2 linked regions of the Caenorhabditis elegans genome follow. The protein of the gene in region 2 interacts with the protein of the main gene of each other region in a pairwise test. Each region holds a gene or a part of one and is shown on either strand. Other genes may lie near its edges. The genes, in order: Y55F3BR.2 and npp-25.

Region 1 (9,404 bases), on a different chromosome or scaffold from region 2:
AAACACCTTTTTTTTAAAATTCAACTCACATCTGGCACAAAACAGTTGACAATCGGCTTGATTTTGGAAATTATTGAAATTTCCCAAAAATCCATTAAAAGTGAACGGATGGCATTGCCCATCTGTTGGATTATAGTAGTAACGGGTACTGATGCCCACTGCGAAGTTGGCGGCTTCACCGGTAAGCTGGTCAAAACGGTGTCCTGCATCATAGGGAGTATTACGGAGAGGATCCTTGGATCTTGCACCAGCTTCACTGCAGATTGATTCTGAAAATTGAAAAAAAAATTTTTGGAAATTTTTTTTCAGACAATTTTTTTTCAGACATTTTTTTGAGTTTCAGAGACGTTTGTTTTGGAGTTCAGCCTGTTTAGAGTTCCAACTTAAGCATAATCACGTCATACTTTTCTCAAACTTGAGTAGTTTTGGTCCCTCCGCGAAAACTACAGTAACCCGGGGTTTTCGTGGTGGGACCCGTACTGGAGGAAAGTAGGTCATGATTATATTTAAATTGAAGCTCTCAACAAGCTGAATACAAAAAGTACCAAGAATTAGAAAAAATCAGAAGAACAATTTTCCAAAATTTTCAAAACCATGTTTTTTTGTCATTGAAACTGATTTTTGTCAAATGTATGTTAAATTTTCGAGTTCAGCTCACTGAGAGCTTTGATTTAAGTATAATCATGACATGTTTTGCTCAAAATTGGGTCCCACCACGAGAACTACAGTAACCCAGAGAGTTTCGTGGCGAGACCCAACTTTCTCCAATTTGGAGCAAAATGTGTCATGATTTTAGTCAAGGTAAAGCTCTCAGTGAGTTCAGTTCAAAAATTATAATGAATTGGCATTTTTACGTAAACTGAAAAAAATCTGAACAAAAAAAAGTTCCAAAAAAACAATTTTTTTTTAAATCCCACTTACTTCTGCTCGCACAACACATTGACTGACTAGCGACTTCTGTGCACACAAATGGATCCGTACAAGGATTAGCAGTGGAGCATCCGGTTTGTGGTAGACGAGCACTGTTCGGAGACCCTTTGGTGGAAAGGTAGGCTGGATTTCCACGTGGACAGGCTGAAATTTTTTTAACTTTTTTTGATCGGATTTTGCAAATCGGAGATTTGTGTGTAGAATGATGAGAGCTTTCAGAAAAGTACAATCATGATCTACTTTTTTCTGACTGCGGTTCCCACCACGAAAGCTACAGTACCCCCCGGGGTTTTCGTGGTGGGACCCAACGTGGGTAGATAATAGTCATGATTATACTTAAATTGAAGCTCTCGACGCGCTGAAGATGAACTTATAAATAGCATTCCAAAAAAATGAAAATTGTTTCATTTTCTGAAAAAAAAAATTTCGAAAAAAAATTCTAAAATTTTAAATGTCTTTTTTTAGTCATTATCTCAAACAAAACTGCGTTTATCTCATCGAGAGCTTCAAAATAAGTACAAACATGACATACTTCCCTCTTTTTCGGGTCCCGCCACGAAAAAAACGGTAGCGCAAGAGTTTTCGTGGCGGGACCCAAATCAACCAAACTAAATGGAAATATTGCATGTTTATATTTGTTTGAGTGATCTCAGTGAGCTGAGCACAAACACGGGGTTCTGGCCTTTCTCATTGAATTTTCGCGCTCCATTGACAATCGCCTGACGGACAACTCGTGGGAAAGTCGTGTACACCACGCGGACAACAAAATTTTGTTTTGCAACTAAATGGGTCCGAGAGAATCTACACAAATTCTCTCGGACCCAAAATGGCCTAGTTCGGCAAACTCTGCCATTTCGATTTATGAGGGAAGCCAGAATTCCGTGCACAAACAAATAAAAAAAATTTTGGAGACTATAAAAACTGAGAAATTCTGAAAAAAAATTTCCACAAAAAAAAACTCACTATCTTTGCAGTAACTCTCACAATGGTCCAGAGTCTCAAAATTATTCGGGGACACTTCTGAGCCAGTTGGATCGAACAGAAACTGCTGACAAGAGCCCATCACAGAGTTAAAATACCATCTTGGCACGGAGCCAAGTGCATCAGATTCTCCTTTTTTCGGTTGCATGCAGGTAAAAGCTCGATTCATACAACATACACCGATTGGATGGGAACTTGTATCCATTCCCTGATCCTTCCAGAATTTCGAGTTGTCTATGCAGTCGTACAGGTCGGAGACATCCTGTGGCTCCGGCTCATCTCCTAGCTGGAAGTTTTTGGAAAATTGAATTCTTCACAAAACAATTGCAATAATTGAATTCAGCACAATGAGAGCTTCAAAATAATTAGAATCATGGCAAGGTTCCATCGAAACAATTTTGGGTCCCGCTACGAAAATCGTCGGGGATACTGTAGTTTTCGTGGTGGGACCCAATTTTGAGTAAGCATTTTTATACTTCTCATGAATCAGCTTTGTTTAACTAAAGTACAAAAGAGTCACTCAAGTGGAAAATTGAGAAAACTAGAAAAATTAAAAAAAAACATTTTGGAAATATTTTTTAATTTTTTGAAAATTCGCAAATTCTCCGTTTTTTTTTCAAATTTTGTTACAAAATTAACAATCGGCATGCTAAGAGCTTCAGCTTAAGTATAAACATGACTAGGTTCTCACAATTTTTTGGTCCCGCCAGGAAAACTACAGTAACCCGAGACTTTCGTGGTGGGACCCGAAATTGCTTTATTTGGAGCTAGATAGGCTATGGTTATACTTAAATTGAAGCTCGCGATGAGCAGAGCATTATTTTTGCATTTAAAATTAAAAATTGAGAAAATTGCGAAAAATCTTTGAATTTGGGTTTTCTTTGGAAATTTCGAAAAAAAAACAGTTGCAAATTTTTTTTTCAAAAAATCACAAATATGAATCCTACTTGTTTTATTGCGGTCCAGCTCGCCAAGAGCTTCAAAATAAGTATAATCATGACATACTTTCCTTCGGTTTGGGTCTCGCCACGAAAACTACAGTAACCCCGGTGAAATTCGTGGTGGGACCCGAAATTGTTCGGAACCTAGTCATGATTATACTTAAATTGAAGCTCCTGGCGTGCTCTATTTGGATTTTCACTCCAAACTCAAAAAAAAAACTCACGAATCCCCGAACCGAGCACTTGAAGTCGTGCTGTTTGCCCAAAAGGTCCTCCTCTCGTTTTGGAGTGTCCGAGCTGTGCGGGTTGCACGGAGCAATTGTTACACTGGTTTTACCTGAAATTTAATGTACTGAAAATTCTGAAAATTATCCTGAAACTTACCAGCAGCCGCTGGAAGAACCACCAAACTCGACGGCGAGTCCGGAGGCGGGAGGGAAGGCAGCGGGCAGGATGGCTCGGAGCTTGTGGACCACACGCAGAGGGTACCGTCTCTGGAAATGGTTAAGGTTAGTCATCTGGGCTCACGGAGCATGAAACCAACTTGGTCTTAACTGCGATCATATCCTCCGACGGGCACATACATTGTCCGTTTTTACAGTAGGAATCTGGCCAGACCGATGCGCATTGGGTATCGTAGAAGCACCCGGAATCGGATGGCGAGATTTCTGAAAATGTAGGTACAAGTTAGTACCTATGCCTATTCCTACCTGCCTACCCATCTACCTATTTGCCTACTTAATTCGACAGGAATTGTATAGGCAGAGTTTAATTAGGCAAATGTGAGAAGCAGGCATGATGCAGGCTTAACGCAGGCATACGGTAGCCCAGAAGCTAGGCAGGCTTTCGATAGGTCCGATGTAGGCACAAGCTAGGCATGGGATATGCTTAAAATATACACAAACTAGACTCAAAGTAGCCATGGGTAGGTGAAAGGTAGGCATGAGCTCGGCACAAAATAGGCAGGATGTAGGCGTAAAGTAGGCTAGATGTATTCACGTAAGCTTCAAGAAGTAACCTTGGCTAGGCAACGGTGAAGGTAGGCATGTAGACAAGTGGGCAAAATGTAGGCATAGGGTAGGCACAGAATAGGCAAGATATAGTCCCGCAGACTTTGGCCATGCTTATCTATATGCAAGTAGCCATAAGGTAGGCACAAGGTAGGCAGGATGTAGGCACGTAGGCAAACTTACTTTCATAACAATAAGCATCGACAGCGACATAAGTCGATAGACATCTACATTGACCAATTGCACAGAACATTCCGCCAAGGCAATCTGTGTTAAAGGAACATACGTCTCCAACCCGACCGGATCCTAAAAAAAATTAAAATATGTAAAAATTCCAATGATTTTTTTTTCAGTTTTTTCAACTTTTTTGTTTTAACTACCAAATTCGTATTCTACTCACTCTCGGTAAGCTGAATCATTATAAAACAATTAGAATTCATAATTAAAAACTTTTTGAAAAAAAATTCCGACATTTTTGTTCTCTCTAAAAAAAGCTTACCAGAAGTCCCCTGTGAGTGGAAAACCTGCATAGCCGGATCCACACAATCCCGGGTACTCAGACTGAAATGCACCCGTCCATCCTCTGAGCAAATCTCCTGCTTCCAGGTACCATTTGTGCACGTCAAATAGGAACTGTGTTCGATATCGATTTTTCTGGAAAGTTAAATATTGATATGGAATGAACTCAAATTTTCAGAAAAATTGAGTTGTTTCACGAATTTTCAGTTAGAAATTCAAATTTCTCATAGCTCAATTAGTACACTCCTAACTTTTCAGAACACTAGCTCAAAATCCTGTCAAGTTTGGTTGATTGGAATACGGTAGTCGGTGTTTGCGGACTTTTGGAGCTACAGTAACCCGGAAATTTTCAATATTGAGCTACCGGGGTCTAGTTTTTTGTGTTCGAGTCCAATTTTTGCAAAGATTTCAAATTTTAACATAACATTTTCGACATACAAACTCGAAGATAATTTTCACCCGTCTCCTTGGCAAAATTAATCATAACTGAAGTTCAAAAATTTTTCCACAAATTTTTTGTTAAAAATTGGAATTCTCTATAGTTCATTAGTAAACTCCGAAATTTTTAGAGCTCCAGCTCAAAAGCTTGTCAAGTTCAGTGTTTGAGTACTTTGGCGCTGCATGCAGTAGCCCGGAAAAGTTTTAAAATTGAGCTAGAGAGAATTCTAGTTTTTTGAGCTTTGGCCCAAAATTTTAAGGAAACTCTGAATTCGAACTTTGTATACGTCGTTGGAGTACTGTAGTCTACGAAAAAACTCACTTTGTCCTTGGATTACAAAAAAGAAAGGCTTCTTTGACATCTTGGCTTATTTCACATTTTGTTGAGAGCTCTGCTTTTAGGCTGCAGTTTGAGCAAATTTCATTGATTTGGCATTCTGGGAGAGCTGGAAATTTGATTTTCAACAATTTCTCAGCTCAAAGAGTTGGTACTCACCCTCAGAAGCTCCCAGGGCACCCCATATTAACAGTAGGTACGGTATCATACCTGAAAAGTTTTTGGAATGAATTTTAAAGAAGAGTATTTGAGAAATAAAGAAGTTAGAAGTTGAAGTATGCGGCCGACATCTCACGGTTTTCTAGGCCCTATTTTTGGAACCGCCAGATGTCAGCCGCTCTAACTTTGTTTAGGGCAAAGCTAGAAAAAAGTTGTCAACTACGAAATTTTTTAGTGCAATATCAGTTATATTTTTTTATTTAAAAAACGCTATTACACTTGCTGTGAACAAAGTTAGAGCGGCCGACATCTCACAGGTGTCTATAATGCCAACCCGCTATGTGTCGGCTGCTAGGACTCCTTTCAGAGTGGAGCTATAAAAAAATTTTTCACTTACAAAACCGTCTAACTTAATACCGTCTACATTTTTGTTGTTGACAATATTTTTCTAGCTTTGCCCTGGAAAAAGTTAAAGCGGCCGACACTTTATAGGTTTGCCTTTTTTTGTTCTTTTTTTCTAATTGCGCGGGATATAACTTAAAATATGGAAGTAAATAATGAATATAACCACGATATTTGTACATTTGAATGACCGCTATCAATTACTTTCATAAATGAAAAGCAAACACGGAGCTCTAAAGGGTCAACGCGTGAAAAATCACACTTGAAAGTTAGCGGTGCGGTGCTTGTTGAAAAACACTTGAAATTTTGGGGTTTTATTGACAAAAGTGTGGAAAGTGAGAAGAAGTTTTGATTTTTCTGTAGAAAAACTTGCTCACCTGGCTGGTCCGGAATCTAGACCAGTGAGGTGTCGGCGGCGCTCATTTCAGGAGCCAGCTATAGAAAAGTTGTCAACTATAAAAATTCAGTTATGCAGTGAACAACTTTTTTCCAGCTCTTTACTTGAAAATGTTACAGCGGCCGACACCTTCCGGGCAGTGGCCCAAAAGAAACCTACGAAGTGTCGGCCACTGTAACTTTTTTCAGGGCTGAGCTTGAAAATTTTTTAACCACACAAATGTAGATAGTGTTATATATTAAACAGTTTTGAGAGTTACAGCGGCCGACACATCGCTGGCCCAGACAGGCAGCGTCCCAAATGAAACCAGTGAGGTGTCGGTCGCTGCAATTTTTTCATAGCGGAGCTAGAAAAGAATTGTCAACTACAATAATTTAGATAATAATATATTTAAAAGTTTTGCAGTTGACAGTTTTTTAAAGCTGTTCCTTGGAAAATGTTACAGCGGCCGACACTTTGCGGGCACAGACAGACTCGTCCCAAAAGGCCGTTTCAGGTGTGAGCTAGAGAACGTTATTAACTACAAAAATGTTTTTAAAGCTTTGAAAGTGACAGCGGCTGACACTTCGCTGGCCCAAACTGGAAACCTGCGAAGTGTCGGCCCGGCCGCTGTAATTTTTTTCAGAGCAACTCTAGAAAAAAGCTGTGAACAACAAAAATGTTGATAAGAATATACTTATGTTAACACTATTAGTTTCAAATTTAAAAAATTATCAATTATTTAATCGGTCAGATCAAAAAGTGCAGAAAGACGGGAAATTAAAACTGAATGGGGTCGGCTACGGCGGCGGCGGCTCATTTTCAATTACCTCATCTCATCTCCCACCCACTTCTGAAATACACGATCCTGCTGTCCCCCAGTGTGAATAGCCGATCTCTCGTCGCCTTACACTCTCAATATCCCACACTATTTCTCGATTACGTGCTCAAATAGTATCGGAACGGGCGAGAGGGATATATATCTTTATGGGTAAACAAACTGAACAGTTCGAGCTTCTTCATCTTTTTCGAAGCTCCTTGACCAAATAGTATACGGCGGCGGGGAAATGTGTCAAGAGTGTTCGCGCCTTGGACGCCTTTTTTTTGGAGGTTTTGTTCCGATCGTACTGGAAAAACATTGAGGATTGGTCAAAATTGAAGGGGATCTTACGATTGTTTCACGAAAAAGTCCTAAATCACTATGCAAGAGTACTCAGGAATTTCACTTCATTTAAAGGTATTAGTCGAGTCGATAATTTTTGTTGGAAACGCAAGATAATTAACTTGTATAGGTCAAAGTTAATTTCAAAGTTTAACTAATCTTAGGTAATCTTTGAACCGTCATAACTCTTTTTTAGAATCTAAATTCATTTATCGATTTTCATAATTACAATATACATACTCAAGTTAATATCATTAACAGCACAAAACGTGTCCATACTCGTCGCCCGATCATCCACATATCCATTTACACGATGATATGACGTGGCACTGACAAGCCATGTGCCACCGGAAGACGCGAAATTCGGGATTAGGGCGGTCTGGAATATATACTTTTGAGTGCAAATTTTGTCGGTGGTGGTGCTCACGGGCTTCTGGTCTTCCTCAATGCATTTTTGGCGTTAATCTACCACGACCATGGCCGAGCTCAAATGGCCTAGTTCGGCAGACTTTTACATTCAAAAATTCGTGGGAAGCCAGAAGCGCGTGGCTGCTCCAAACACTTTAATTTTAAAACTCTGTAATTTTTTTTCCGGTTTTTATTTTTTCGAATGTAAATGAAAAGATTCCAGAAAGTCGTTTTGAAATTATTGGAATTGGAACATTTGGTGATTTTAGTATAAACAACTAAATTAAAATCTATATTTTTATTTCATAAGCCTACGTCTAAGCTCAAGCCTAAACCTAAGCCTGATTCTAAGGCCAAGCCTAAGCCGACGCCTAATCCTAAGCTTAAACCTAAGCTTAAGCCTAACCCTACGGTTAAGCCTAAACTTAAGACTAATCCTAAGGATAAGTCTTAGCCTAATTGTAAGCCTAAGCCAAAGCTAATCCCGAAACTATGAAATTTTACACTGAAATTGTTAGGTTTAACACAAAAATTTGCGAGAACTCGAAAATTTGTAAGAAAATAGATAAGAAAATGTTTTTCGAATTTTTTCGGCGAAAAAAAAAGAAAAAAACTCACTTGAATAGCTGCCTGAACTTGATCAACGGCGATTGCCTTTGGATTTGTAATATTTTGCAATGCATTGAAGACTACTTGTCTTAAATCCTTATTTGTACAGAATAGAGCGTCGACTGAAAAAAAACTTTGAAAAGAATGTTTTTTCTCAGATTTTTTTTAGTTTCAAATCAAAAATAATTGTTTCCCAGTAAAAACTTACTATTCGGCAAAACTCCACGATCATCATTTCTAACAGGAAAACTGTGTGAAAACGCAAAAAATACGTGGAACAGAAGCAAAAATCGGCGCATTTTCCGGCAGGTGCATCTGGTGACACTGTGTCAGGTGCTCGAAGAGTCAATTAGACACCCCGATAAGAAACATTTTAATTATTCATTTTCTTCTGATAAGTGATAAGGAACATGGTGACGATTTTTCGAAAATCGGGGAGAATGCAAACGCGCTTCGTTGAGAATCCGGCGAAAAAATCTGGAAAAAATTGATATTTTCTGAAAAATTGGGATGTTACTGTGCATGTTTCCGAAAACCCCGATTTTTTGTGATGAAAATTACCAAAAATGTAGTTTTTTTTTTGAAAAGTTGACTGAAAATTCGAATTTTTCGTAAAAATTTCATCAAAAACCCAAATTGTGCAGCAAAAAAATTTGTGGCCTAACTTTTTGTTTAGGTGGCCTAGGATTTTTTTGTTGACAAATGCGAGAAAATGCGAAAAATTACCAGAATATTTGAATTTCACGTGAAAATTTTATCATAAACCCCAAGTTTTGCATTTAAAAATTGGTGGCCTAACTTTTTTCTGGTGGCCTAGAAATTTTTACTGAAAAATTAGAAAAAACCGCAAAAAATTAGAAACAGTTAACTGAAAATTCGGATTTTTCGTTAAAATTTCATCAAAAACCTCAAGTCTTGCAACAAAAAATTGGTGGCCTAATTTTTTTGTGATGGCCTAGGAATATTTTGCTGCAAAAATGCGGGAAAACCGCGTGAAATTAGAAAAAGTTAATTGAAAATTTGAAATTTTCGTAAAAAACTTCATCAAAAACCTCAAGTTTTGCAAAAATTTGCAACAAAAAAATTGGTGGCCTAACTTTTCTTTAGGTGGCCTAGTGATTTTTTTGCTGAA
Region 2 (12,482 bases):
TTCTCAGCATTTTGTGTTCCCGTAATATAGAAAAATGATTGACTGATACGAAAATATTTTTTTATTGAAGTTAAAGAATGTCAAAAAAATGCTCAAAAATGCTCCAAAATTAGCTGAAAATTGCCGATCTCCTAAAAAAAATAATCCGACAGAAAATGACAACTTTGATGCAGTTTTTGAGCATTTTAATCAATTAAAAAAAAATTATTTAGGTGTCATTTTGTAGAATTGTTTCATGAATTAAAAAAATTTACAAAAAAAAAGCGTTATTTGCAATTTGCAACACAAAGTTTCTTTCTGAATAATTTCCCAATTTTATTTTGAATAAAAAGTTTTCCAGCAAATTAAAGCAAATACGGTAATTTTCTTACGGGAACACAAAATTCTCAGAATGTGTATTGCGCAACATATTTGACGCGCAAAATATAACTATATCTCGTAGCGAAAACTACAGTAATCCTTAAAATGACTATTGTAGCGCTCGTATCGATTTACGGTAATCATTTATTTTATCGATATAATATTAGCGCTACAGTATAAATAATTGATCCTTTCAAAGATCGCCCCCCGTAAATCGACACAAGCGCTACAGTAGTCATTTAATGGATTACTGTAGTTTTCGTTTTCGCTAAGATATATTTTGCGCGTCAAATATGTTGTGCAAAACGTATTCTCAGAATTTTTTCCTCAATTTCCAGTTTATTTCCAAATGTATACAGTTCCGGTGCATGACTAATGTCTTCAGGTGGGTGGCGGGTCGTCTTCAAAGTTTCACCCCGCAATATGCAAATATTTGTTTGTAGAGCGAGTATGCTCTTTACGATGGAAAGTCTCAAGGTCTACAGCCTACTGATAACAATGGTTAACATTGTTTTACGTTATATATTTGGAAAATGAGTGAGAGATAGGCTAGACGCAGACAATTTGGAAAAGCAAAACAATTTTAGAAAGAAGTTTCGAAAAAATTCGAAAATCGATATTATGGGAACACAGAATTCTGAGAATGCATATTGCACAACATATTTGACGCACAAAATATAACTATATCTCGTAGCGAAAACTACAGTAATTCATTAAATGACCTTGTGTCGATTTACGGGCTTATATTAATTGATTAACCGAATAGTGACAACGTTAAAAAAATCGAGCCCGTCAATCGACACCAGCGCTACAGTAGTCATGTAAAGAATTACTGTAGTTTTCGCTACGAGATATTTTGCGTGGCAATAATTTTTTTATATTCTCGGTCCCTCAGAGGTGCTGCGTGGCCTAGAAAATTCTAAAATTCGGCCAGACATTATTTAATGTAAGCTGAGAGGCCCAGGTTTTCAATTTTTCTAGGCCACGTATTCTAGGCCACCCATTCAGCGCGAAAAAAACTTACAATAATCACAATTTTAATGCCCATACCGATGAGCAGCTGGCTTGGAAACGCCATTTTCTGTAAATATTAAGTAAAAAGAACTGAAAAATAAATTATACATTAAGAAAAAAGTAGGGGATAGGTTGGAACTTCGCTCCATTGATAATGCAAAATTTTTCACAATAGAGCTTATTTGCATAGAATGGGATTTCGAAAAAATTGATATTATGAAGACGCAGAAAAAATCGGCTTTTCAAATCGAGGTGCAAAGGCGCTCCAATGAAAAATTTGGGTCTTGTTGGGTATTTACGTCTGGCTTCCCTCATACATTGAAATGGAAGAGTTTGCCGAACTAGGCCATTTTGGCTCGGCCATATCTGGGGTAGATTTACGGCGCGTTGCGTGTCGCGTCGCGGCTCGATTGTAAAACTAAATGTATTTGTCCGTGTGGAGTACACGACTTTCCCACGCGTTGTCCGGCTTGTCAAATGGAGCGCGAAAAATTCAATGATGAATGCCAGAACCCCGTGAAGTCGGTTTTTCAAATCGAGGTGTAATCGCGGTTCAAATTTGGGTCTCGTTAGGTTATTGGCGTTTTCAATTATTTTTCGTATTGTTTTTGTCGAAATAATGTTTCAGCATTAAAAAATACTGAAAACTAAACAAAAACGACTAAAAATGCTTGAAAATTTACGAGTTTCCCGCCAATACCTAACGAGACCCAAGACCCAGGGGCGGAGAGTGTTAATTTCGCCGTGAAGCGCGCTTGCACCTTGATTTCAATTTTTTTTTCAGGTTTACGAGCGATGCAAATAATTGTTTCAACTCAAAAAATCTTCTATTGGGGGAGTACACAAAGGGTTTTCAATAGAGCGCGTTTGCTGACCTAATTATTTAACAAAAATAATTATATTTGGACGCCACGGGGTTCTGGCCGTCCTCTTTGAATTTTACGCGCTCCATTGACAATTGCCCGCCGGACAACGCTTGGGAAAGTGTCGTGTACTCCACACGGATAAATACAGTTAGTTTTACAAGCCGCGACGCGACACGCAACGCACCGGAAATCTACCCCAGATATGGCCGAGCCAAAATGGCCTAGTCCGGCAAACTCTTCCATTTCAATTTATGAGGGAAGCCAGAAATTCGTGGGGGCGCTTTAGCAGGAAATTTAAAAATTTTAAAATTGAAGGATCAGAAAACCTGCCCTATTGAGAATTAATCTAAGTCTTCTAAATTTAAAAGGGCCCAGAAGTTTGATTTAAAAAATCGAAAAAAAAAACAATTTTCCGTATAGTCATATGATGACAGTATACAACATCAGTTTCCCTGCAGAAAGTCGAAAAGTGAAGAGAGATGGAGAAGCAGGCGAGAGACCTCCCATCGCTCGCCGCGCCGGTGAATCATGAAAGAGCAAATATAGAGTGTCTGTGTCTCTCTCTGTCTTCAACACTATTTTCATACTTCTACATTTCTGAACCTCTCATATTTCAATGTTCCATGGGGGGCTTGACTGTTTGCCTACGGAATTGCATAACAAGGTGAGCAGGCAGGTAGGAGGGGGGGAACCGAATCGATAAATTGTATACGTTGAGGAGGTTGACTATTTGCATTTCGGCGGCTTGAGCCCTAGCGGGAAAGGGTTCCAAGCTGCTGAACATGTGCACAAATGAGCAAATGAAAATGTTTATGTAGAGGAAAAGCTCGACTTTGATAGAATCGATAGTAATTTAATATGAATTTTTTGAGGAAATAATGGAAAGGGCATCAGAATTTAGCGGGTCTCGACACGACAATTTCTAGGCGGAACAGGCAGAAAACAGACCGTAATGACCGAATATAAGTATTTAAAATATTTGGAAAAAATTTTTTTAAAAATTGATTTTTTTTTGGATTTTTTTGCAGAAGCCGGCCGTTTTTTTTGGAAATTTTGAAAAAAAATTTAAAAAAATTGTTTTTTTTTAAATTTTTTTTTTTGCAGAAAAAAGGATATTTCCAAAAGGTTGCCGGGGCTTAATCAGTCTTTTTTTTGTTTTGAAAATTTTGGAAAAAAAATTCTTAAAAATTAGGAAATTTTTTTTTTCAATTTTTTTTCAAATTTTAAAAAGCTCATTACGGCCTATTTTCTGCCATTTAATGCCGAAAAAAAAATTTCCAGCAAAAAGTCGTGGCGAGACCGCTATTTTTGGTGCAAAAATCGTTTGTGTAATATAAAGGGCGGGTAGGAAGGGGGAGGAGAAGATCTGAAAGAGCACATGAAAAATTATGGAAAAAGCGGAAAAATGTAAGCGAAAAGGGGAAGAAATCGGATGTTTGGCAGAAAAAAAATATTGGAAAAAACACTGAAAATCTAGAATTTGTGCACAAAATGGGGAATTCGCTTCAAAAAATCCCACTTCATCTGATTGGTCGAAAAGTGGGCGGAGCAATTCGCTGATTGGTCGGCCAGAATTTAGCCAAAATTGAAAAAAAAAAAACATTTTAAGCCGTTTTTTTTTGTGGAATTTCTGGATTTTTTGGGTTTTCCAAAAAAATCCAAACTTTTTGGATTTTTTTTCAATTTTTCAAAAAAAAAAAACGGCTTATTAGGCTCCGCCCACTTTTTGGAGATGTTTTTTGAAAAATAAATTCCAAAAAAACACTTAAAATTTCCGGATATCCAAGAAGTGGGCGGAGCCTGATAATAAATTTTTTGGATTTTTTGTTTAATTTTTCAAAAAAAAAAACAAGGCTTATTAGGCCCCACCCACTTTTTGGAGATATTTTTTCTGGAAAATAAATTCCAAAAAAAAAAACACTTAAAATTTCCGGATATCCAAGAAGTGGGCGGAGCCTAAAAACCAATTTTTTTTGGATTTTTCAACAAAAATCTAGAAAATCAGTGTTTTTGTGGTAACAACAAAAAAATATATAAAAAAAGTTCAATTAATAAATCACATGACTGGCGGAGCTCTAGCCGAGATGAAATCAATAGCTCTGTAGATCAGTGAGCTAATCGGACGGGGGCAACTCGAGCTCATCGCAACATTCTGAAGTGATCCACGCATTTGCGCGAACGCTTGACGAGTCGACGGATTCCGTCTGGAGGCGTATCTCAGCGAAAGGAACCGGTAGTAGGCGAACGGCAGGAGCAGTGATCCTTTTCCACTGAAAATCAGCGAGACGAGCAGTGGAACGAGAAAGATTTCCGAGCAAGCGATGATTCCGAGAGCATTTTGGGTTTGATGAGCAGTGAATTGTTCCAGTTTTGGGATGATTGAGCTGGTGTGACCGGTTTCACGTAGGATTTTCGTCTGAAAAATTACTTATTAAATGTGGAGTAGCGTCAGTGGGGAAATTGGTTTAAAACACGCCTATGGTACCACAATGACCGAATATCATGATTAAAAATTCAAAAAATTCAAAAATTTTTTTCTAAATTCTATATGATTTTTTGAAAATTGGAAAAAAATCTCAGTTTGCGTGGAATTCCTATTTGAATTACCGCCAATTGGATTCGTTCGATGGAGCGCGCTTGCACGTTTTTAAATTTAATTATTTTATTTTTTGTTACTTATTTTCCACCGATTTTTAATGTTTTCGGTGTATTTTTGCTTGAATTTTAGAGAAAAAGTCAAAATAAATGCAAATTTTCGATTAAAAAGCACGGTTGCAGTCGTAAATCAGTGAAATTAATTAATTCAAGTTTGAAATCGTTTAAAAGCGTTACTTTTTCATTTTTACTATGTCAGCGTAGTGCTTTTTTATCGAAAATTTGCATTTATCTTGACTTTTTCTCTAAAACTCAAGCAAAAATACACCGAAAACATTGAAAATCGGTGGAAAATAACAAAAAATAAAATAAATAAATTTAAAATCGTGCAAGCGCGCTCCATCGAACAAATCCAATTGGCGGAAATTCAAAAATAATTAGGCAAAAACTGAGATTTTTTCAATTTTCAAAAAATCATATTATCATGATATTCGGTCATTGTGGTACCATAGGCGTATTTTAAAGCAATTTCCCCACAGGGTGTGTACCTTTAAACAGTTATTTTTGTGGTCATTTAAATCGAAAAATTTCAACTCTACTACGGCCCGAAAAACCGATTTTCGTAAGGACATGTTATATATTTAAAGGGGGAGTAGCGCCCGTGAGGATTTTGTCTAAATGCACTTATAATGATCCAAAACAACCGAATATCATAATAAAATACTCCAAAAAAAAATATATAGATTTTCATAATTTCCGGGCAAAGTTTTGGCAAATTGCCAAAATTTTGAAAATTACAATCTTTTTGAGGAAATTTAAAGAAATGTCGCATGTTTCGACCCCTACAATGTTCTAATACAAATAATTTAAACAAAATTAAAACATAAAAACAGTCGAAAAAAAAAATGTTTTTTTGGTCGACTTCCAAAATTATGAGTGGCAAAAACTGAGTAATTGCCACTTTTTGACAGTAAATAAAAAATGTTCAAAATTTTTTTGAAAAGTTTTAGGAGGCTAAAAGCATACAATTTTGATCATGTTTCGAATTTCTCTCAACTCAAAAACGTGCGTAAATGACCACCAAAAAATGCAAAAAATTCAGATTTTTTTTTTCAAAATCAGGGTCATAAAAAATGTTTTGGGCGTTTTTTGAGAAGTTTCTTTATGAAATTCAATAGTTTTGGGTCATCACTGCAACTTTTTCCTCACGAGGGACGAGGAAAAGTGGTTTCTAGGCCATGGCCGAGGGGCCGACAAGTTTCAGCGGCCATTTATCTTGCTTTGTTTTCCGCCTGTTTTCTTTTGTTTTTCACAGCTTTTTCCCGTTTTTTCTTACTAAAACTGATAAATAAATACTTTTTGCAGATGCTAAAACAATTTCCAAGTGAAAAAATAATGTATTCAGTGGGCAAGCAGCGGTGAAAGTGGTCAATGTAAAATGATGGATTACGGGAATACAAAACCTATACTTTTTCTGAAACATGATACATATGCTGCTTAAATGCTGAAATTACCTGATTTTCATAACGAGACCGCTGAAAAAGTTTTGAGGTTTCCAAAATTCAACTTTTTCGGTGAAAAAGTCGAGATTTTCCAAAATTCAACTTTTTCGGTGAAAAAGTCGAGATTTTCGCACAAAAAGTTGAATTTTGAAAACCTCAAAACTTTTTCAGCGGTCTCGTTATGAAAATCAGGTAATTTCAACATCTAAGCAGCATATGTATCATGTTTCAGAAAAAGTTTAGGTTTTGTATTCCCGTAATCCATCATTTTACATTGACCACTTTCACCGCTGCTTGCCCACTGAATACATAATTTTTTACTTGGAAATTGTTTTAGCATCTGCAAAAAGTATTTATTTATCAGTTTTAATAAGAAAAAACGAAAAAAATCGATGAAAAACAAAAGAAAACAGGCGGAAAACAAAGCAAGATAAATGGCCGCTGAAACTTGTCGGCCCCTCGGCCATGGCCTAGAAACCACTTTTCCTCGTCCCTCGTGAGGAAAAAGTTGCAGTGGTTCAGTCCAAAACTTTACCATAAAAGTGCAAGCATGAAGAGCCGCATAGATAGTAACTGGAAGAGCAGCCATGCTTACTGGAGCAGCCATCAGGAATACGACAGAATAGACGAGATAATGGAATGAATCTTCGATGATGAGACGCTGAATAAACTGCGCATTCAGTGCAAATTGTCCTTGAATTCTCGTGTGAAGACGGAGGGCGAATGTGGCGGCGGCTGAAAAAAAAAAGTTTTTTTTTGGAAAAAAAAATCTCAAATTTTGCGGTTAAAAATTGGATTTTTATTCAATTTTTTGTCATATTCTGCACATTTTTGCAAGAGCATCGCATAGAAAAAGAGGCGGAGCGTAATTTTGCAACCCTGCGGCACGGTTTTCCAATGAATTTTCGATTTTTCTTTTTTCTCAATAAAAATTGGATTTTATTCAATTTTTTGTCATATTTTGCACATTTTTGCAAGAGCATCGCACAGAAAAAGGGGCGGAGCTTAATTTTGCAACCCTGCGGCACGGTTTTTTCTCCATTTTTCTCAATAAAATTTCGATTTTACTTGTTTTTCTCTTTTTTTTTCGAATAAAATTCTATCGAAAAAAGATAATAAAACATGTAAAATCGAAAGTTTTTTTTTAATCAATTTCAAAAAAGCAGTGGAAAAACCGTGCCGCAGGGTTGCAAAATTACGCGCCGCCTCTTTTTCTGTGCGATGCTGCTTTTTTTTTTTGCAAAATCTCACATTTTTTCGTTGATTACGGTACTTTTGTAGCCGATATCGACGTTTAATGCACCGTGAATTTTGCAAAAAAGGAGTATCGCACAGAAAAAGAGGCGGAGCTTATTTTGCAATCCTGCGGCACGGTTTTTTAGCTGCTTTTTTAAAATTGAATGTTTTAAAATAAAATTTTTGATTTTTCCTCTTTTTAGAATAAAATTCTATCGAAAAAAGATAATAAAATATGTGAAATCGAAATTTTATTGAAAAAAAAAATCAATTTCAAAAAAGCAGTGGAAAAAAACCGTGCCGCAGGGTTGCGAAATTACGCTCCACCTCTTTTTCTGTGCGATGTTGATTTTTTTTTGCAAAATCTCACATTTTTCGTTGATTATGGTACTTTTATAGCCGATATCGACTTTAAATGCACCATGAATTTTGCAAAAATCAGCTTCGCCGCACAGAAAAAGAGGCGGAGCGTAATTTCGCAACCCTGCGGCACGGTTTTTCTACAGCTTTTTTAAATTGTTTTTTTTAAATAAAATTTTTATTTTTCTTGTTTTTCTCTTTTTTTCGATTAAAATTTTATCGAAAAAGGGTAATAAAACATGTAAAATCGAAATTTTAATTTTAAAAAATCAATTTTAAAAAAAAACACTAAAAAACTGTGCCGCAGGGTTGCGAAATTACGCCCCGCCTCTTTTTCTGTGCGATGCTGTTTTTTTTTGCAAAATAAAGGACAAAAATTAGCAGAGTCTGACGAAAATCAAACGGAGAAATCGATAATTTTTGGGGATTTTGGCTAAATTATGCAATTTTTTCGAATTTTTTCGAATTCCCGGTCTGAAATTCGGGCTTTTAGGCTTTTGCCAAATAACGTACAAGCTGCGAAGATCTTATAATACGCAGAATGAGCCGGCACCAATCCAATAAACGGAATCATGTAGTTCAGAGCAAAAAAGACGGTCAAAACTCGTGCGGCGAATAGCACACACTCCATTGTGTTCGCCGAAACGTATTGCTGGAAAATTATTGATTTTTAGTTGGAAAAAACTGCAAAAATTCTCACTGAAATCGAGGAATAAGCTGGCGGTGGTGGTGGTGGTGGGGCACTCGAAGATCCAGAAGATCCAGCTCCGGTGGATGAAGATTGATGATCATCGGGTTCTTCGACAATTTCGACCATTTTTGTGAAGTTTTTCTGCAAAAAAATCTGTGAAATTGGGAAAAAAGGAAAAAATTGAGGTTAGGAGACGTGGATTAGCCCAAAAATTGCGTAGAATGTTCCGGAATCATCGATTTTTTTCTGTTTTAAACAAAAATTAAGGCAACGCATATTGAAAATCAAAAGAAAACACCAGCGGTTTCTATGGAAATCAATTAACGAGTATGTGGAGCCGCAGAGCACACATTCTCGATAATACTTGAGAACGACCGCAAACACTTTGACGGCACGTTGCACAGAAAATATTTTTGTGATTTTTTACTTTATTTACTCATAATAATCGTTTTAAACTGCTTTTATCGGATATAAATTCATAAATTTGAAGAAAAACTGCAGAATTTCTCTAGCTAGAAATAAAAAATAAAATTAATTGTCGTCAAGTTGTGCGCATTGTACGCAAGCAGCGTGACGTCAGATTGCACAGTTTTCTTTTTTATATAAAAAATTTAATTTAATCTTTTTTAAAATCAAATTTCCGCTATTCAAATAGATTTTAAGAGCTTATTTTAAAATAAATTAAAATTTCCTGAATTTCAGAATGCTAAAACTCGCTTCATCCCTCAGAACTGGTCTTATAAGCCGAAGCATCCGAACATTAGCGCCAACAGTGAACCCGGCCGAGCAACAGCAAGTTCAAGCAGTTTTACCCGACAAACTGTACAGCTCAGTTGAAATCGAGTATCGTGGGCACGACAAGGCGGTTTTGAAGTCATATACGTCGTTTTTGCAGGTATTTGAACGTTTTTCAGGTCTTTTTGATTTTAAATTGCATTTTTCATTTATTTTCAGCAAGTCTGCCAACACCTGGAGATTCCTCAAGGTCGTCTCGAAGTTCTTCCGTATATTCGATGGGTTCAGCCGGCTCTGCGCTCGAAATTCGTCCATAAAAAATATAAATTGCATTATGAGACGAGAACACACATTTCTAAACTTGAGGTTGGAAAATAATTAAACGCCTATGGGGTCACAATAACCGAATATCATGATAAAAAAATTCAAAAAAATTTTCTAGATTTTATATGATTTTTTGAAAATTAGAAAAATCTCAGTTTTCCCCCTAATTCCTAATTGAATTTCCGCCAATTGGATTCGTTCGGTGGAGCGCACTTGCTATATTTTCATTAATTTATTTTATTTTTTCTCATTCTTTCACTGATTTTCTTCAATATTTGCGTATTTTTATCGGAAAAAGAGAGAAAAATGCAAGATAAAATCAAATTGTTCATTAAAAATCACTGAAAATGGGTAAAACTCTAAAATTATGAGTTCTGGAGACAACAAGCTAGCTTGAAATTAGCATATTTTACAGTTTTACCCATTTTCAGTATTTTTTTTTTATGAAGAATTTGCATTTTTCTCTCTTTTTCCGATAAAAAACCACAAATATTGAAGAAAATCAGTGAAATAATGAGAAAAAATAAAATAAAATCAATAAAAATAGAGCAAGTGCGCTCCACCGAACAAGTTCAATTAGCGGTAATTTAAATAGGAATTAGGGGAAGGGAAGAAAGAGATTTTTTCAATTTTCAAAAAATCATATAAAGTCAGGAACATTTTTTTGAATTTTTTTATCATGATATTCGGTCTCTGTGACCCCAAAGGCGTGTTTTCACCTTAAATTTTTTTTTCCAGATCCTCAACGTGACTGGCTCCACAGCTTCAACATTCCTCGAATACATCCAACGAAACATCCCAGAAGGCGTCGGAATGCGTGTCGGATTCACCGAACTTCAACCACTACCGCTGACAATTCAGAAAAATTGATTTATAACCAAATTCTAGTGTGTAGATCCTTATTGTTATTTCGTTTTTTTTTCCTTCTTCAAATTGTTTACTTTTAATGAAATAATAAAGGTGGACCTCTCACCTGATTGGTCGGAAAGTGGGCGAAGCAATTCGCTGGTTGGTCGGCCAAAATTTAGCCAAAATTGAAAAAAAGGTGTTTTTTTTCTGTGGAATTTCTGAATTTTTAGGATTTTCCAAAAAAAATCCGAATTTTTTGATTTTTTAACAATTTTCAAAAAAAAACTGCTTTTTAGGCCCCGCCCACTTCTTGGAGATAGGTTATTTTGGAAAATAAATTCCAAAAAAAACACTGAAAATTTCCGAATGCCCAAGAAGTGGGCGGAGCCTAAAAATAAATTTTTTTGGATTTTTTTATTTTTCAAAAAAAAACGGCTTATTAGGCCCCGCCCACTTCCTGGAGATATCTGTTTTTCTGGAAAGGAAAAAAATTCCAAAAAAATCACTTGAAATTTCCGGATATCCAGGAAGTGGGCGGAGCCTAAAAATAAATTTTTTTGAAAATTTCCAGTAGATCTTTGTTGTTGCATTTTTCTCTATATTTTCAAATTGTGTTTGCTTTTATTAAATATATAAAATGAGACCAAAAAACATGGCAAAACAAGTGAAAAAGATCAAAATAATTATGATTTCCCGCCCGAATCATCGATCAATAACGTTCACGTCTTCTGTCATCATTGCGATGATGCCGGCTCGAGCTTCGGTCATATCCATGACGATCGTGATGACGGTGTGGCGTGGAATTCTGATGACGTCCATTGTACGGAGGAGCGGATCTATTAATTTGTTGCTGCATCATTTGATTTACAAAATGTTGATGAGGAAGCATTTGCGGAGTCGAATATTGTGGAGGACCTGGAAAATATTGATTTTTCGATTTTTTTTCCGACATTCTTGCGTTTTTCGGCTGAATTGGTTACTTTTTTCAGCGAACTTTTTTCAGCTTTTTCAATTTTATTCAATTTTTTTTAGTTATTTTAGGTACATTAAGCTTGTTCTCATGAAATTTAGGTCTAAAAATCTAGAACTTTTCAGAAACTTCTGCAAAAAAAATCGATTTTTTGGAAAAATTAACGAATTTTTCCGACATTTCTGCGTTTTTCTGCAGAAAATTTATTGGTTTTCATTGAATTTTTCTCTAATATTTGATTTTAGGAATGATTTTTCAGACTTTTTGCCGCAAAAAAAGTCCCTGAAACTCTCTAAAATTGGCCACTTTTGAGCTTCAGCAATTTTTTTTTGCGGAAAAATGTCTGAAAATTGGACAAACGATGCTCTTTTTTTCGTCTGGTGTAATTTTTTTTCCCAATTTTTGAGTTATTTTAGGCCTAATTAGGTAAATTGAGCCTGCTTTTATGCAATTTAGGGCTAAAAATCTCCAATTTTTCAGATTTTTGAACAAAAAAAAATTTTTTCTAATTAAGATTTTTTCACCGATTTCTCACTTATATTGAGGGGGTTTCGGAAAAATTATAGATTTGTTCTTCTAAAATTCCTCAAAAATTGGCTCAATTTTTTAAAAATCAAATTTTCCGGCTAATTTCCGCAAAAACCTTGCAAATTATCGATTTTTAGGGTTTCAGCATGTTTTTTTGCGGAAAAAAGGTTGAAATTTTGAATTTTTTGCAAAAAAAAATTTTTAAAAAAAAGATTTTTTTTCCATTTTTCAGTTATTTTGAGCCCGTTCTCATGTATTTCAGGCCTAAAAATCTCCAATTTTTCAGAAATTTCAACTAAAAATCGATTTTTTTGCTACCTCTTTCCCCTCCGCTTCTCCAATGTCCTCCGGATCCTCCCATCAGTGGAGGTGGCGGTGGAGGTGGAAGAGGATCATATTGTCGATGATGACGAGGAGGCTGCTGCTGCTGCCATGAGTCACGGTTGTTTCCG

Evidence for each region.
Region 1: the proteins of npp-25 (region 2) and Y55F3BR.2 interact in a two-hybrid assay, tested with the Caenorhabditis elegans proteins (one large-scale study listed by BioGRID).

Annotation. Positions count from the first base shown.
Region 1 is NC_003282.8:854,892-864,295, reverse strand, and holds the start of Y55F3BR.2 (BPTI/Kunitz inhibitor domain-containing protein), read right to left. Parts: upstream 5,367-9,404; 5' UTR 5,365-5,366; coding exon 5,316-5,364; intron 5,266-5,315; coding exon 5,142-5,265; intron 4,517-5,141; coding exon 4,362-4,516; intron 4,169-4,361; coding exon 4,046-4,168; intron 3,521-4,045; coding exon 3,397-3,520; intron 3,347-3,396; coding exon 3,237-3,346; intron 3,190-3,236; coding exon 3,077-3,189; intron 2,198-3,076; coding exon 1,894-2,197; intron 1,547-1,893; exon of another isoform or gene 1,324-1,546; intron 1,075-1,323; coding exon 922-1,074; intron 270-921; coding exon 30-269; intron 1-29. Other genes in the region: Y55F3BR.11 (Ground-like domain-containing protein), read right to left, coding at 7,461-7,634, 8,282-8,394, 8,481-8,571.
Region 2 is NC_003281.10:12,917,233-12,929,714, forward strand, and holds npp-25 (Transmembrane protein 33 homolog), read right to left. Parts: upstream 8,766-12,482; 5' UTR 8,751-8,765; coding exon 8,634-8,750; intron 8,586-8,633; coding exon 8,447-8,585; intron 7,073-8,446; coding exon 6,873-7,072; intron 4,657-6,872; coding exon 4,297-4,656; 3' UTR 3,045-4,296; downstream 1-3,044. Other genes in the region: Y37D8A.16 (MARVEL domain-containing protein), read right to left, coding at 1,385-1,438; mrps-10 (Small ribosomal subunit protein uS10m), read left to right, coding at 9,328-9,519, 9,579-9,725, 10,422-10,553; rbm-7 (RRM domain-containing protein), read right to left, coding at 11,242-11,447, 12,349-12,482.